Linked DNA regions of Bombyx mori. The protein of the gene in region 1 interacts with the protein of each later gene in a pairwise test. Links are inferred from orthologs where the notes say so. Each region holds a gene or a part of one and is shown in the gene's direction. Other genes may lie near its edges.

Region 1 (8,375 bases):
ACACTAATGTTTTATAAGGATAAAGTCTTAAGCCATATCAATAATTAAATCACAAAATTACTGATTTCTGTAATGCGGAGCGCGCGCTAGGAAAACGCCATATTTTTCTTCTTTTCTTTTCTGTTCTGTGTGCCCGCGTCGCTCGTATTAGCCAATCCAGGGCGCGGGGGATGGGTGAGGAAGGGGAAGGGAAAAGTGTCATAGCTGCCATATTATTATAAAAACATTCATCTACAAATCTGTTATGACGCTGGCGCAACCAGTAAGTCTCAGTTGTTATTTGTTTTAATGTATTTGATTAAATAAAAATACATGTAAAAATCTGTTGTTTTTGGGGATATTGGGGACGTCTTAGGTATAAATAACAACGAAAAAGGGGTCAATTGGGATGAGAATACGTGAAATGGAAACGACCTAAGTATAAATAGGTACAGGTTTGTAGGGTTGTCTATGTAGTTATAACAATATTTTTTAAATTTGTTGGTAAAAATCTGGTTTATTCGAAGCGAAATTGGGAATAAGTCTTTAGTTGAAATAGATAAGCAATTTAATATAAGTAAGTCGATTTTGCAGAGACATGTAACAAGATCAATGAAATCTCAAGGTGGACAAAAATGTCTAAGTAATACATAATAAAATATTTAATATTTGTTCAGAGTGGGGGTATTCATCTGATTAATCCATGGAATAACCAATACACCTAATCTCTCAACCCAGATAGAAATATCAGCACTGTCGATTGCACCTATAATTGAGGTGATGTCTGCCATGTACTTTTGTCAGTTTTTCAATTTTTTTTATTGATGATCACTTTGTTGGTGCAACTAAATAAATAAATAAATTAAAACTATATATAAAAATAAAAGTAGTGCCAACCCTAGCAAATTTCTCATTTCGTCCCAATTAACCGCAATTTTCGGGTAAATAGGGATTACACCTATTTTTGCATTTTTTGCTTAAACTGGAATGCTAGTTGCATAATTTTAAATTAGACAACAAAGATGCTCCCAAGACTCAATCATTTTGATCCTGATATAGCATTATATACATCAACAACTACCTTAAAATTGCTCATAAAGTTGGAATTTGTCCCTAATCGCCCCATTTTACGGTATATGGTTTGTACTCGATCTCTATTTGTAACGATCGATCACGTCGGGGTCACCAATGAGGGAGCTCATATAGAGTCCCTTCTTTATTTCGCCTGGTTGTGTTTTATGTAATTAACACCACAGTTGGAACAATATTAATTTTATTGTTGTAGCGGCATAAAGTAATTACATTAAATTAGTTATTTAACTCATTATAAATTATTTTTATGTTTTTCATATTTGGCGGTAAAAAAGGTATTGTGGCACAGACTATCTCCTTTTTCCCACATCTCGTGCGTTCCGGCTTACGCATAATAAAACGCCACATACCTATTGAAATGACTTAAGAAAGGCTCTCATTTGGCTATTATTATTTGTATGCAGTGTGAGCACAATGGACTTTTGACAAAAACTAAAGTGCGCTATCGACAGTTCGAATATAAGTTTGCATAATATATAATTGCTTTTGACATTTTTCTAAAATTAGCTTTAGCTTCCCAGAATCTTAAGTCAGACAAGATTAAAGACGTGTATACCGATTTGACAAAAAATGAATTACAATGATTCAATTAGTATTTGCTTATCTCATTTAATTTCTTTCTATCGTCAATTTTAATTGATTCCGTCTCATTTCACTTTTCATTTAAAGCCTGCTATACATGTTGGTCGAGCTTAGGCCAACGCGAGCGTAGAGACAAATTGTGCAAGGGAAGTGCTACTGCCTACACGTTCGGCAGGTTATCCAAAACCAATGCAAATGGCCAATAAAGACGAATTTTGAAGAGATGCCCACACGTTGGGCTCCGTCAGTTGTGAGTGACGTTTTGTACGCGTACACACGACCGTCGCCAACCACGTGATGGCGCGCTGACAAACATGTAGACAGTACTATTGGCCTAGTGCGTGCTAGCGCCTTTGATTTGTGCAGAAAAACCGACAGCGCCCTGAAGTGCGGCAAGTGGTCGCGAGCGACCGCAAGTTGTGACAAGCTACGCCAAATGAGTTTTAAACAAGTTAGCGCTTGACTTTACTCGGCTAACTAGGTGAACGACAGCGAGCGATGGCAAGACGTTGATATTGGCGTTCAATGGGCGACGCTCGACCAATATGTATTGCAGGCTTAACAGACAAAGCTTTTGACCTCAAGGATTCCATTGTTTGTTATGGGCTATATTCCATTTGCCTGTTGAATGTTCAAACAAGCCAAATAAACATTGATTGAATGTCATATGTCATTTTCATCTATTTTATGTCAGAGTTTGTTAGAATATTTAGACGTGTTTTTTGCTTAAATTAAATGGGTATTTGGTTTTAAAGAAAGTTGCCATATTCTATTAAAGCAACCTTTGTGTAACATAAGCTGTAACAACATAATGACTTCCCAAGCGTTAGCGTCGCTCACAGCGACTTACACCGACTCTGAAGGCGAAGAAGATATGGAAGACCAAACGCCTGAAAAAGAAGAGCCAAAAGAAGCTCATTCCGTCCCGACCAGTCCTCGGAAAGTGGAGGAAAGTAACAAGCCAGCCTCAGCTCCAGTTTCCCCTAAGAAAAGTCTAGTTAGCTACGTAGATGACACGATAGTGTCTGACGAAGAACCGACATCACCAGTTAATGAAAATGAAGATGACATGCGCCGTTTGTCCATGGAGACCGATACAGACGAAGCAGTACAGCGATCAGACCCTGATGACTCCGAAGACGGCATCACAATCCCACCTGAACCATCAGGAAAGTGTCCCAAAGAACTACAAGAATCTATAGCAAAATTTTACAACCGCATGTTAACAGAAGGACTTGACATGAATAGAATCATACAGGACAAGAAAAATTTTAGGAATCCAAGTATATATGAAAAATTGATACAATTCTGTGATATCAATGAACTTGATACAAATTATCCTCCAGAAATATATGATCCATTAAAATGGGGGAAAGAATCTTACTATGAGGAACTCTCTAAAGTTCAAAAACTGGAAATGGAGAGAAGAGAGAAAGAAAAAAAAGAAAAATTGTCAAAAATTGACTTTATCAGTGGAGTTGCCAAGAAACCTGAAAGTGACGATGAAAAGAAAAGAAAATCAAAATGGGATCAAGCTGCTCCCAATATAGGCTCTAAGCCGAATATCAAACAACCAGGCCTAGTGCAACAACCACTGACAACAAACATCACTGGCACAAAGGGAACTGTCATTGCTGCTTTTGGATCTTTACCAAAAAAACCAAAGATCTGATGTGAGAAACGTCATTCAGCTGTAAATGTTGAATGATGATCATTAGATGGACTGAGATACAATTATAATCTTAATGATAAATTTGTCTTAAAAATATATTAAATAAATGATCAATAATAAAAGTGTTGAAAAATATAATCATGGATTTCTACATAAAAGATATCAGTCAAATGTCAGGAAATAAAAATGCTTTTACTATAACATTTTTGTAAGCAGTTTAATGAATGAATCCCAGCAGCTGTAGCATTATAGAGGTATAGTACTATAGCTCTATGGATAGCCACAACCATCTACACATTTCTGCCTCAAAGTAATTAAAGTAAAATAGTATTTTGTACCATGCAATTAACACTAATCCTTACTTTAAAGATTTCCTCAGTAGTATATGAATGTTTGTGAATACTGGCATCCATATGCATGTCAAGTTGGTTAAAACACAATTACTAAAATAAATATCTCATTGCCTTATTCAGTCTTGTATACAACTTTATACTATAATTAATTAATTATATACTAAACATAATTGTTTGAGATTTGTAAATGAGAATGAGAGCCAAAAAGCATTGTAATACAAATGGTATTTAATATCTAACATACTATTTGTCTTTACTTTTTGGCAGCCAAATAATATGATGATTATTTATTTTTATTTTTTATTGCCTTTGTAGGCAGATGAGCATACGGCCCAGCTGATGGTAAGTAGTTACCGTCACTCGTGGACGTCATCAAAGCCAGGGGCAGAGCCAAGCCGCTGCCTACCATGTGTCAAGTGTCTTCGAATCTAAATCTGTGTAAAAAATTTCGTTTTATATAGTGCTTAATCTGGTTTTAGAAAACATGCTATAGTGGTGGCTTACCTAACAATTTGATACAGATAAGTGCACAAGTGTGAGTAACAGATTTGTTCTGTCGCAGATGATTTTCAAAAAGTCTAACTCTCAGTAAATTCTCATTATTTTACCGAGAAGCTATTTTAATCTTAATTTTTATCTTAATATTATTTTAATCTTAATATTATTTTAATCTTAATTTTTTTCATATTAGTTATTTTCAGTATTCATTTGATAGCTTTGATTTTTTTGCTATAAATTTATAGTCTGCATTCCTTTTGCCGAAGTCAATTGGACAAATCAAATAAAATAGTCTATGGATGGCTTAGACATAAACACAACAAACCTTCCTTTGTTTGCATCAGGGGGGTGCAACTCCCAGGGTGAATGAAGTTAGCCCCTCAAAAAATTTTTTTTTCCTGTTTTCTACTTATTTTCTATTAATTCGTTTGTTCATCATTTGTTCTTGATTGTTCACTGTTAATAATTGTTTGTTCCCCATTTATTTATTTTAAAAAAAATATTAAAAATATATCTAAAAGTTAGCCCCTCGATTGCAATTTTTAATATTTTTTCGTCCTTAATTACTCGTAAATATTCATTTTCGATTGTTCATATATAAAATACGTTTGTTCTCTTTCGAAATTACTCATTTTTTGTTTAATTAATTGTATTAGTTGAATAAATGTATACAAAATATGTGTACTGCGCATGCCATAAGTGTATAATCTATGGCGCATGCGTCAACTATAATGCTTAAACTTTCTACGCGGTTTTAATCGTGAAAAAAAAACAATTTTAAATCCTGAAGGATCATTTAATTGGATACAGTTTAATTAAAAAAATTAAAAAATAAATAAATAAAATAATGTGCATTCGCGTAAAGTTAGCCCAAATACATTTTTTCCATCCTCCTATATACCTATCGCTATGAAGGTATAAAAAAGATAGGTTAAGAGTTCACATAGGTAATATAAACAAATAAGTAAATATGTTCATTATTTATCTTTCAAGAGATAATGTAGGTACGGTATACATTATAATAACATTTTGACACAGTCGAAATTATATTCCTAACATTAGTAAAATAACATTTTAATATTTTTTTTATAGGTTATGTATTGAAATTGTTGGCAAATTATTTCATGTTTTAGCTGGAAAACTACATGGAGAATTATATGCAATACAAGATAATGAGCTCCATCAAATGAATTCGAATGAAACCAAACTGTTTACCATCCAAATTCGATTGTCGGGCAGATAGAAAACGAAAATTCACTCATAGTGAACCTCGGCCTGCATTTGTGAAACGGCAAAGACTCACTATTATCAAGGAAATTGAAGAGACGACTAAAAATGAGATGTGTCGTATTATTATACCTTTGCCATCTTGTAGTCAAGGTAGGTGTAACTGTCAATAATTAGTTACACTCACAGATCTCCTAATCAAATAACAATATCAGAAAAAATGAGAATAGTTAGTTAGTTAGTGGAAGTAGCCAAAATGGGCAAGTGGATCTCAGTTCCTATTACATAAGGTACTAGGAAGTTTGTGAAAATGAAAATTTATCACAGTGTAATATCACTTACTTACTTTAACAGTGAAGGAAAACATTGTGATGAAACCTGCACACCTAAATGTTCTTAGGATTTTCTTAGGTGTGTAATCCACCAACCAGCACTAGGACAGCGTGGTGGACTAAGGCCTAAAAACCCTCTCAATGGTAGTGAAGGCCAGTGTCCAGCAAGGGGATATATTATATGGGCTGATGATGATGACTAGGAAGTTAAATACTACTACTACTACTACGACAGTACACATATAATCCTATATATTTACAAACTATACGTTTGTTGGAAATTGCTAACATTATTTCATATTTCTAGATGTCCAGCCACTTGAAAATAGGTGTAGTAATGACAAAGCTATCCAAGTAGCTCCAGCACAGGAACACAAAGGCAAGGCAAGTGTGTATTGCAACATCACCCCTTAATATATCTGAAGCAAGTATAAGTAAACAATCAGAACCAGCAAAAAAAAAAACTGTTGTTCCTGAGGACAAATTTGACAGTGATGAGTCAAATGCACCAGCAACAGAAGGATCAACTGTTGACTATGGGTTATAGAAGAAGAAGATTAATTCATATTTATTCATTATCGTGCAAAATTCGTGGTCAAAACATATGTGTATTTTATAAATAAATATTCATTCTCAGTATTAATGTTGTTTTAATCATCGATTGAAAAATTGGTTCTTAATGAATTTAGTTGGAGCTAAATGCTGCTTGGAGCTTAATACTTTCGAATAACATAAACACGTGACTTTAAGCATAAACATATTTTTTAGGTAAATACTTTATTTAGCTTTGCTGGATTTATCCAAGATTTCGACATACCAAAATTTCATACAGGAACGACAGAGAGATATCTATCTGATTGAATACCCTTGTAGAATTGAGCTTCGAAGAAAAGTTTATTCTTATTCTTTATTAGACTTTATTCTAGTTGCAGTGTCGGTTAGAGAAGCTTGCACAGATACTGCATGGAATAAATAGTCATTATAATTATAAAATATATTTCTGTTTACATACCATACAATTTTCATAGTTCAAATATGAATTTGGATTGATATGAATTTATTTCGATTATCAAAATAATTTGTATTAAACATTTATATTTCCTCAAAATTTCTATTTTTATAATAATGACTGTGACCACCCCATAAATCACAAAATTAAAAATATTAAAGATAACTTATTTTTAAATCATATATTAAAAATTATAAACAGATCGCGAATTAAAATATTATATTATGCCTATCATTCTTAAATAATTCAGTAATGAATTTTCGCATCGCCGCGCCGTATATAATTAATATGAATAATAGGGTATTGTCCACTGTGCTAAAAAAAACATAAATTATGTTTTTTTGATAGATCTACAAACAAGCAAGTGAGTAATGCTATGTTTCCATAAATAAAAAGGCAAAAAAAAATTAAAGAAAGATATTATGCACAAGTTCAAATGCATATGTATTGTGCTAAAAGTAAAACTTGCTACTTTTGTGTAGCATCCAGCAACTTTGAAAAAACTAATCAGGTCACTATAATTAGTAGGTATTGATTTTGATTCCGAGTAAGTTGCACAGTTGTTAGATAATGTAGTTTCTTTTTGGAAGAATAACAATTTTCTAATCCTACACAAAAATGTAATGTTAAATATTTAAAAAAAACTTTATACCTATTTTCCTTTTAGGGAGTACAAAATATTGATGTGTACAAAGTGAATGTGATTTAATAAAAATATTTCAATTTAAATTATGTTTTATTAAAAATTATTCTTAACATACAGGTACAAAGGTTACATAACATTAATATTTATTCCTTTTCATATATATAAGCCCATATTTAGCACATTTGTGGAAAACAGAATCAAAATAATAATGAGTTGCTAGCCATAGAAGACCAGCATAAAAGTCTTATTAAAATCTGTTCAGTAGTTTTTGAATGAAGAGTGAAAATACTTACAAAACTTCCTCAATTATAAGTAAGGATTACTTATTTAATTAAAGAGTTTTGTAGGTGGCAAACTATCTAAAAACTTTCTATTTTCCACCAAGTTGACATCAATTATCCTTCCTGCATATATATTTATTGTATTGTTTTTTTTATAGTCTAACAAGGGGTGATATTACATTTGCAATTTCTGGGAGTTTGTTGAAAAATATATTGCTTGCTTGACTTACAGATAAATCGAAATCATCAGCCAATTGAGAGAATGTTCTATTTAATGTTATTCTCATCAGACATAATATAATATTTTGTTCAGAAACATTTGTATGTTTCTCAATCAAGCCTATTATGAAACATAATTCTTGTGGAAGACCAATATATAAACGTTGTTTATTTTTCACTTTAGATAAAGTTGTTAACACATTCATTTTTTCAACTTTTTAGTCTTCTTGAGAGCTATAGTCTGAAGTGCACAAGTCTTTGATGGAGTGGAGATATAGAGAGATAACTCATAGTCAACAGTTGATCCTTCTGTTGCTGGTGCATTTGACTCATCACTGTCAAATTTGTCCTCAGGAACAACAGTTTTTTTTTTGCTGGTTCTGATTGTTTACTTATACTTGCTTCAGATATATTAAGGGGTGATGTGGCAATACACACTTGCCTTGCCTTTGTGTTCCTGTGCTGGAGCTACTTGGATAGCTTTG
Region 2 (8,375 bases), on another chromosome or scaffold:
TCATTTAAGAGGTATTATATTCTATCTATTGAGCACAGTTTATTTTATTAAGCTAGCATTCTTAGTTTCCAAGATTATTAGGTATCTTTAGGTGACCCGCATTCATTGCCCTGAAGTATATTTATTAGAGCTTAATCAGATTCAACACATAGTGACCCAATCCTATTCCTAATAAACACTTTTTCCAAATCACATCATGAGTACTAGTAGTATATTGTGTTGTGATCTGCACCGTTGGCCATTTACCTATGTGGGCTGCAAAATAATCATCCAGTTCAAACAGATATATTTAAATTATCTGGTATGTGAAATTAAGATTATAAGTTCAGTGGTGGCAAATTCATTTCATTGTCATTTTACTTTGGAAGCTGCTCAACATTAGGTGGTCTAATCTATTCTATATAATACTATTTATGATACTTTATATTATATATTATGTATCCAGTATTAAAGTTTTAGGCAATTCATTGAAATCATCTTGACTGATTACTTGGAACATGACACTACAACTTAATATACCTAATATATATAAGGTTATAGACTTGTAAATAGTTGTAATATCTATAGATAGTCACATTACAATAACCATCTGACAGTATAAATTTTATGTCACTTAATGCCTTGGTAATTAATCTCCTAGCAAAAACATAGTCAATGCAATTACATTTTTTATGAATTTTAAATAATACATAAGTTCTTACATAATACTACTCCATACATAAGTTCTTGAAATATTATTTTGTTGCTTTCATTATGTAACATTCTAAGGCTGTGCTGAAAAACCAAAAAAAGAACAGAAGAAGTATAATATCAGGTCTGTGGAGTTCTTTTTTTATTCTATAAAAAAATTATACAAGAAAAATGAGTGATCTATGATGAAGATTCTATGTCAATTTTTATTCCCTAATAAGGATTTTTAAAAGTTTTTAATATTGGTGGTAGGAAGTCTTGTGAGTAGGCACAGGTAGGCACCAGCACCCTGCCTAAATTCTCTGTGAAGTAGTAATGTTATATAGTTTCAAAGGGTGGGGCAAATGTAAAAACTGAGATCTTAGAGTTCATGTGTTAAGGTGGATGGCAGCCTTTATTTTATGGATGTCTATGGGCTCCAGAAACTACTTAACACAAGATGACTTATCTAAACAAATAACATGGATGCATATCAAATTAATTACTAATTCTATAGGTATTTTATTTAGTAATTGTTGTGTGAGCATTTGAACAAAATTCAACAGAAGAAATATTATTTTCCACAAAAATTATTATGTTTTTACATTTATTCAAATTGCAATAATTAGTCACCAATGTAGTCAGTACACTTATATATTTTATGTCAGTATTCACATGTTATATTAGCTATTTGAATAGACATTGATGTAGAATTAAGTCTAATATTTGCATTTAATACTAGAGTATTTAGGTTTGAAACTGACTACTTATTACTCTGAATTCCGTTCTTTGTGTGTATTGTGAACCGTTTTCATAAGTGCTCACTGTTGATAACTTCTTAAAAATATATTTTCGTTATTGATGAACAAGATAGCTCATTCTTTTGAAGTGACTTTATTAAATTTGTAATAAGCAATTGCTGTGTGTTAGAATTTTACCTTTACACCTTTAACAGCACACTTTTAATTTTATTATGATTGTCTAATTTGGTTACTTATACACTAAAATGTTAGAATTACATTAGTTTTCTATAAAGTTACACGCCTTTTATCTTGTAATTAAGTAAACAAATGCATTATTTTTATTGTTTGGATAATGTTAAGCATCCTCAGTAAATCATTTATAGAATTTTATTAAGTACTGGTAACGACTGTACACAATGAAGTGTGTATTCGGGAACAACGGGCGCCCTTCATAGCCTTGCACGAGTTATTTATGTATGCGAGAGCATCATGTTCTTATTTCAAACACCATTTATTTTTAAATTCATAACATAAACTACTATTGGATTGAGGTACTTAGCATGCATTAGACAAAATTTTAACATAAACATTATCACAACGCACCTTTAAGCGCCAGGTACATAGGTGGAACCCGGTGACATAGGGAGTAAATTAACATAACTTCGTCCTTAGACTGTTTATAACACTGGTCATACCTCAAAATAAGACCTAAAACTTACTCACTATTATTAACAGCAAACATCACGAAACTAAATTAACTTTTATTTTAATATTGCGAATAGGAAATCACAGACGGTAATAAAATTATTGCCACACATTCAAACCAACCACAGTACACAACTTGACTTGAAGCCTATTGAAATGCGTTTACGAATGCGAGGTCTGTTTCTCTTTAAAATCTCATGCAAAATGTTGAGTGATCTGTGAGATTTCTGAACGAAATACAGAGAAAGTAAAATTCATAGAGAAAGAAAACTACCGAAAATTATTGCAATGATATGGTAATACCGTTAGTAAGTGAGAAGAGAATGTCAAATTTATATTTTTAGTCTATGTTCGACGTCAGGGTGTGGTAGAATTTAATTTCAGATATAGTGGTAAACATTTGCTCGGAATACGTTTTTGAAAACTCTTTGGTAGAATATCCTGGTATCAATCTCTTTATTTCATCGCCTGCGATCGTGCGCTTTAAACGTTTTTGAATCCAGTAAAGCAATAAGTGAAAATTAAGTAGAATTTTAACAATGGCAAATATAGCAGCCAAACGTATAAAAAGAGAGTTCAAAGAGATAATGAAAAGTGAAGAGGTATGGATAATAATTTAACTAAACTTTATATTTGTTTTGATGTTTAGAATGTAGAACTGGAGTTACTTGCACTTTTGTTAAAATGTCATATTTTGTTGGAATGCATTATTATTATTTAGATAGTTAAATTGCCCAAGAAACTAAATTGTTGGATTGTCTCGATATAATAAAACAAAGAACAAATAGCCAGTTCAGAACAATGTGTGCGTGATTCAGCAAACTTGTAGAAATCATGTTTTGTTTAAATTCAAAACGTTAATGCTATTTTTAATTCGTCGAAAAGGAATTATTTTACTGCTTCGTAATAGTAAAATTAGCTTTTCAAAATACATCTATAATGTTTTTCGTGATTCATACGAGAAAAAGTAAACATTTTGTTTTCTATATTTTCTACCAATGTTTTTAATAGAAACAATACTTATATTACCCACATTGATCTTTATAAGTAATTGAAGTTGTGTTTAAAATAAAATAAAAGATTTTATCCGATTTATGCCCAAGCAAAAGTATTTTTGGCTTATTTATCAAATCACAGTTATGACACTGGTGGCTTCAGGCAACCATTTACTTCCAAAAAGCCAGACATAGTACAGGTATTTTTACATTATTTTGGATTTATTCCCTCATTATTGATTGCCATTGAAATAGAACTTGTGTGTGGGGCACCAGCATCCCCTTGTATATGTGTTCAGCTTACCAAGTAGCAATATTTACACATAACATACCGAATTTTTTTAAATTAAATATCTGTAGCACTATTGTCATGGACAGATTGCCTTATTTATTGCAATTGTAAGAGCACACCTGCGTGCAATGCATGTAATACATTAATGTACCGAACATGATCCAGGCGATACTAAGCTAACAGCATTCATAATCCACATTTTGATTACAATAGTAATTGTCCTCATAAACATGAACTAGACGATGACCGAGCTTTGCTCGGTATTAATTTTTTTTTTGATAAATTGTCTTTCGGTTGGCTTAACAACGTCATCTGTGGAAATAACTTTAGTGTTATTGTGTCTTTAAACAATTATGAAAAATAGTATTATTATTCGCCAATATATGTCGGGAAGTCATAAAGTTGATTATCGATAAAGTTGATTATTGAAAACACAAGTAAAACAACATTTCCTAAAATAAATTCTAGCTAGATCGATTTATCGCTCCCTGAAATCCCATGTATACTAAATTTCATAAAAATCGTTGGAGCCATTTCCGAGATTCAGATTATATATATATACAAGAATTGCTTGTTTAAAGGTATAAGATTCTGTGTTTGTGTAGACTAAGAATATTAAATATCTCAGTCCTAGCCCAAACCCAGCAAAAACTGAATTTTTCATTAGACAAAGTTTTTGCACTTCCTGCAAGTATGTGCTCTCCAATTAGCAAGTATCTTTTACTGCCTAGGTTGTATCTGAAAGCTAGCATGTGTAGTAAGAAGGTTACTCCTACTTAAAATATCTGCACTGCATTAGCACCAAGGCCCAATTTTTGTTTATTTATATATAGTGTAGATTATTGGAACTATCTTCTTATTGAGATCCATATTAAGAGTTTTTCAGGAATACCATTCATTAAATTGAATTACCAGGGCTCTTGCATTTACTTTTCTTAACCTTCTGTACTGAAATAATATACTGTACAATGACACATTGTGTAATTGTGTTAGTCATATTTGTATATCTAAAAGTGCATACTTGCTGCATTGTAAGCTTGCACAATTTCTTATCTCTCTCTAACCTTTAGCTTCTGCACGGCTGCCCACTGAGATCTTCTAGCACCTCACATCTAAATGGAACAAATGTTTATGTTTCTGCAAATATAAACAGCAGGGAAAACAAAGAGGGTTGTAATTGCCAGGAGGAGTGGGATTTGCTAACAACTGCCTTAGCACCTCTAAAGAAAACCTGCCATCTCAAGGGCAATTGCTTCACGAATTCATCTTCTACCAGACCGGAATTGCGCCCCACTGAGAAGATCTGGCGAGAAATTTAGCAGGCTCTAAATGTTATAGAGGGTAGATTTACTTTGAACTCTGACGAGTTTGATGAGTTCGGTTAGCAGGGTTCCTATACTTGCTCCTAGTGTTAGAGTTGCAGGTATCTAATGCAAGAGTTATTGGATCAGATAGATCTGTAAGGACGTGTCTAGAACGTCAACGATGACTGACTCCTGTGTGAGTCTGTGGCGATATACTTGCTCCTAGAGTTAGAGTTGTAGGTATCTAATGCACGAGTTATTGGATCAGATAGATCTGTAAGGACGTGTCTAGGACGTCAACGATGACTGACTCCTGTATGAGTCTGTGGCGATGGTGGCGGATGTGATTTTCATCAAGATTCATTATCATTTCTTCAAGATCTACATATTGCGATGTAACATCATATTACTTATATCTCAATCAATTCTAGGGCTTTAACAGCCTTCATAAAAAGGAGGCTATTTATCAATTCAGCTCTGTTTTTTGTGTTAATTCAAAAGTTTTTCTCGGTCAACTGATTTTTATGATTCTTTTTTTTTTTATTATCAAATTTCAATTTTTATCGAAGTCTGAGCAGTCGTTTTTGAGTTATCCTTATTGATCTATATTTAATTGACATTGATTACATTGATCAAATTATCTCAAAATCAAAAAATGATCTAATTTTAATTTTTAAATTTGGTTTTCTTTTTTTTAATTTCGGTATCGTATTCATAAAGCTGTTTGGAACCCATTTTCGTCCTGAAATATGATTTCAATATAGGTTAAGAGTCTATTACTCTTAGAATTAGATTAGAACTTATCTCTATGATCAAGTTTTGCTATATAATAATTTTATAACTGAATAAAGCGTGTAAAAAGATTCCAATTTCGATCAGTTATTTGCAATCTAATATTAAAGTTCATTCTAAATCCAACACCACCGCACAACCCATAAATGTTATGAAAATCATGACCAGTGTCTACAAATTATTCTTGTTCTGTGCACAAATCAACTAAGAGAATAGAAAATAATTAACAATAATAAATAAAAATTCTTTAGTATAATTAGATTGACATGAAGCAGAGTTTTAAACTAGTGCACAATCAAAGCAATAACAAAACTGCATGCATTGTTGTGATACATGTACTTATAAGCTCTGCTTAAGACTAAGAGAAATGTAAAATCTACTATACAAATATAAGTGAGACTTTAGCTGCCAATAGTATACTTCTGTCTATATAAATGTTTAACAATGGGAATAGGTAAGGTTAAGGGAGCCAATCAAGTGGATATATATTATAAAAATAGATAAAAAACGAAAAAAAAAACACTGTTGGAAGTATGTAATACTGAAAATTTTATTAACCAGAATTTTTACCAAAGAAGGAGATTATTGTATATTCTTAATATGTATCTATATTGAAAAAATGGCCTTAACTATTAAAACATTCAAATATTCATTTTATTTCAGATTGAAAATACAGTAAAGAAATTATCTTTCATTTTTATTCCTAACAAAACATGTTCAGCATCAATTTCATATCATTATCATTGGACAGAGGTCAGATGGATCGGTTAAAGTGGAACAACTACTTGTTTCCAATGAATATCAATAATGTTCCAATTGGTGTTGTTTTGTATATCGATGCGTGTTCGATATATCATTTTTATCTTGTTTTAATACTAGTACTAATTGAATAAGTAAAGGTTAAGAGTTTTCTTTTTGTTTCATAGGTGATTGGTGGCTCCATAAAATTGGGACTCGTGAATGAGAATTGGACTGAACTCAAAGGCGAGATAGCTGGTCCTGTTGATACTCCTTATGAAGGTGGGACCTTCCTCCTTGAAATTAAAGTTCCCGAAACTTATCCTTTCAATCCTCCTAAGGTATGTTTATTTACTAAGTTAAGATAAAAATTCAATTTTGAACAGCACAGATTTTTGCACTTATGTACAAGCCATGAATTATTAAATACAAAAAAATTATGTTAGTAACTTATTAAACAACGTCAATATATCTTAAATAATACTACAAACAATATTTTAAAAACAGGTTGCACACTAAATAACAGCATTGCAGAACAAAGCAAATTCATATTATTAACACTGCATAATATGTCCAATAAGTTTTGTTTTAATTAAGTTCATAAGTGTCTTCTTGCCTGTGTTACATTATACATATAATACACTAGCACAGTAGTCACAAAATAAAAAAGCTAAACAGTCATTTTATTTAATATATTCCTTTTTGACAGATACGCTTTTTGACCAAGATCTGGCATCCGAACGTGTCCTCAGTCACCGGTGCCATATGTTTAGACATCTTGAAAGACCAATGGGCAGCAGCTTTAACATTGCGTACAGTTCTATTGTCGTTGCAAGCATTACTGTCAGCAGGTGAACCTAATGATCCACAAGATGCTGTGGTCGCCAAACAGTTCAGAGAGAATCCTCGTTTATTCACTATGACGGCACGACATTGGACCAATGTTTATGCTGGTGGGCCAAATATAGTACACGAATGCAATAGCAAAGTGCAGCGTATGCTGGACATGGGTATTGATGAACATCAGGCCAGAGTAGCTCTCTCCTCATATGATTGGGACTTAGAGCGTGCCACTGAGCAACTTTTTGGCTAGATATTTGTAATAAATTTTAATTAAGACGTGTTGCAACCAATCTACTTTGATGTTGTAATTATCCCTGTTATTTTCATAGTGTGCCCTTTGTGGGGACTTAGATTTTTTTTCTTTCAATCCATCGTAAAAATAATTACAGTATATCACTAATTAAGATAGGTTTGATGTCCAAGTAAAATTTACTGTTATATATAAGTACGTTTGAAAGCGAACTATACTATTGAACTCAATAAAACAGAAAATATAAAACCAACTACTCCATAACCTTTTTAATATTGAATTTACACAAACGGCAGAAATAACTTAATCAGATAATAGCAACACTGAAATAGCACGTGGATATGAAATTGTACACAGAATCTTTAAATAATGTAGATTATAAATTTTATTTATGTACAATAATAAATCCTTAAATTTCCTCACGGAGTGTTACTCAATGGCTAAGAAAATAAAAACACAGAGTTTACATTATATGCAAATCAAGTATTAGATAATGTACAGTATTTTTTGTATATACCTATAAATGATTGTTATATGTATTCCATTTATAAATCAATATTTGTTTATGCAGACTCTTACTCTACGTAGACTATTTGTTTCTACTTTTATTCCATCGACGCGAAACTTTACTAAAGAAAGTAATTAGATTTCGAACTAAATGATTTTTATGAATGATTAATGAATAGTAATTATTTTTATTTTAAATATTAGTTTGGTGGTATTGATGACCTAATTCGTGTAGGTAGTTACTATACATTTGATATGTTTAGCTTATTCCATTTCTAGTTAGTTTTGTATAGTATGATCGAAGGCGTGGCGTGGGTAAGAATTCCACGATGTTTCCTTAATGGTAATTAAATATATGTAAATGAATCGTATAAATACATTAGTGTTTTATTTGTCTCCTGAACCCCAAACCTAAAAAATATATATATATTAAATTCTTAATAACATCATAAATACATAGTATACCAATTAACAACATGACCAGCAAAAGTTTTATTAAAACAGTGTTATTTGATAAATAGGATTATTTACTTATCG

Evidence for each region.
Region 2: the proteins of zinc finger TRAF-type-containing protein 1 homolog (region 1) and Ubcd4 interact in a two-hybrid assay, tested with the Drosophila melanogaster proteins (2 studies listed by BioGRID). The link is inferred for Bombyx mori from reciprocal best matches to the Drosophila melanogaster genes CG32486 and Ubc4.

The regions. Positions count from the first base shown.
Region 1 is NC_085125.1:14,637,452-14,645,826, reverse strand, and holds the start of zinc finger TRAF-type-containing protein 1 homolog, read left to right. Parts: upstream 1-4,482; 5' UTR 4,483-4,524; intron 4,525-7,461; exon of another isoform or gene 7,462-8,375. Other genes in the region: SAP30-binding protein, read left to right, coding at 2,465-3,325.
Region 2 is NC_085107.1:6,307,089-6,315,463, forward strand, and holds Ubcd4 (ubiquitin conjugating enzyme 4), read left to right. Parts: upstream 1-2,656; coding exon 2,657-2,719; intron 2,720-6,426; coding exon 6,427-6,579; intron 6,580-6,947; coding exon 6,948-7,331; downstream 7,332-8,375. UniProt on the Drosophila melanogaster protein: Catalyzes the covalent attachment of ubiquitin to other proteins.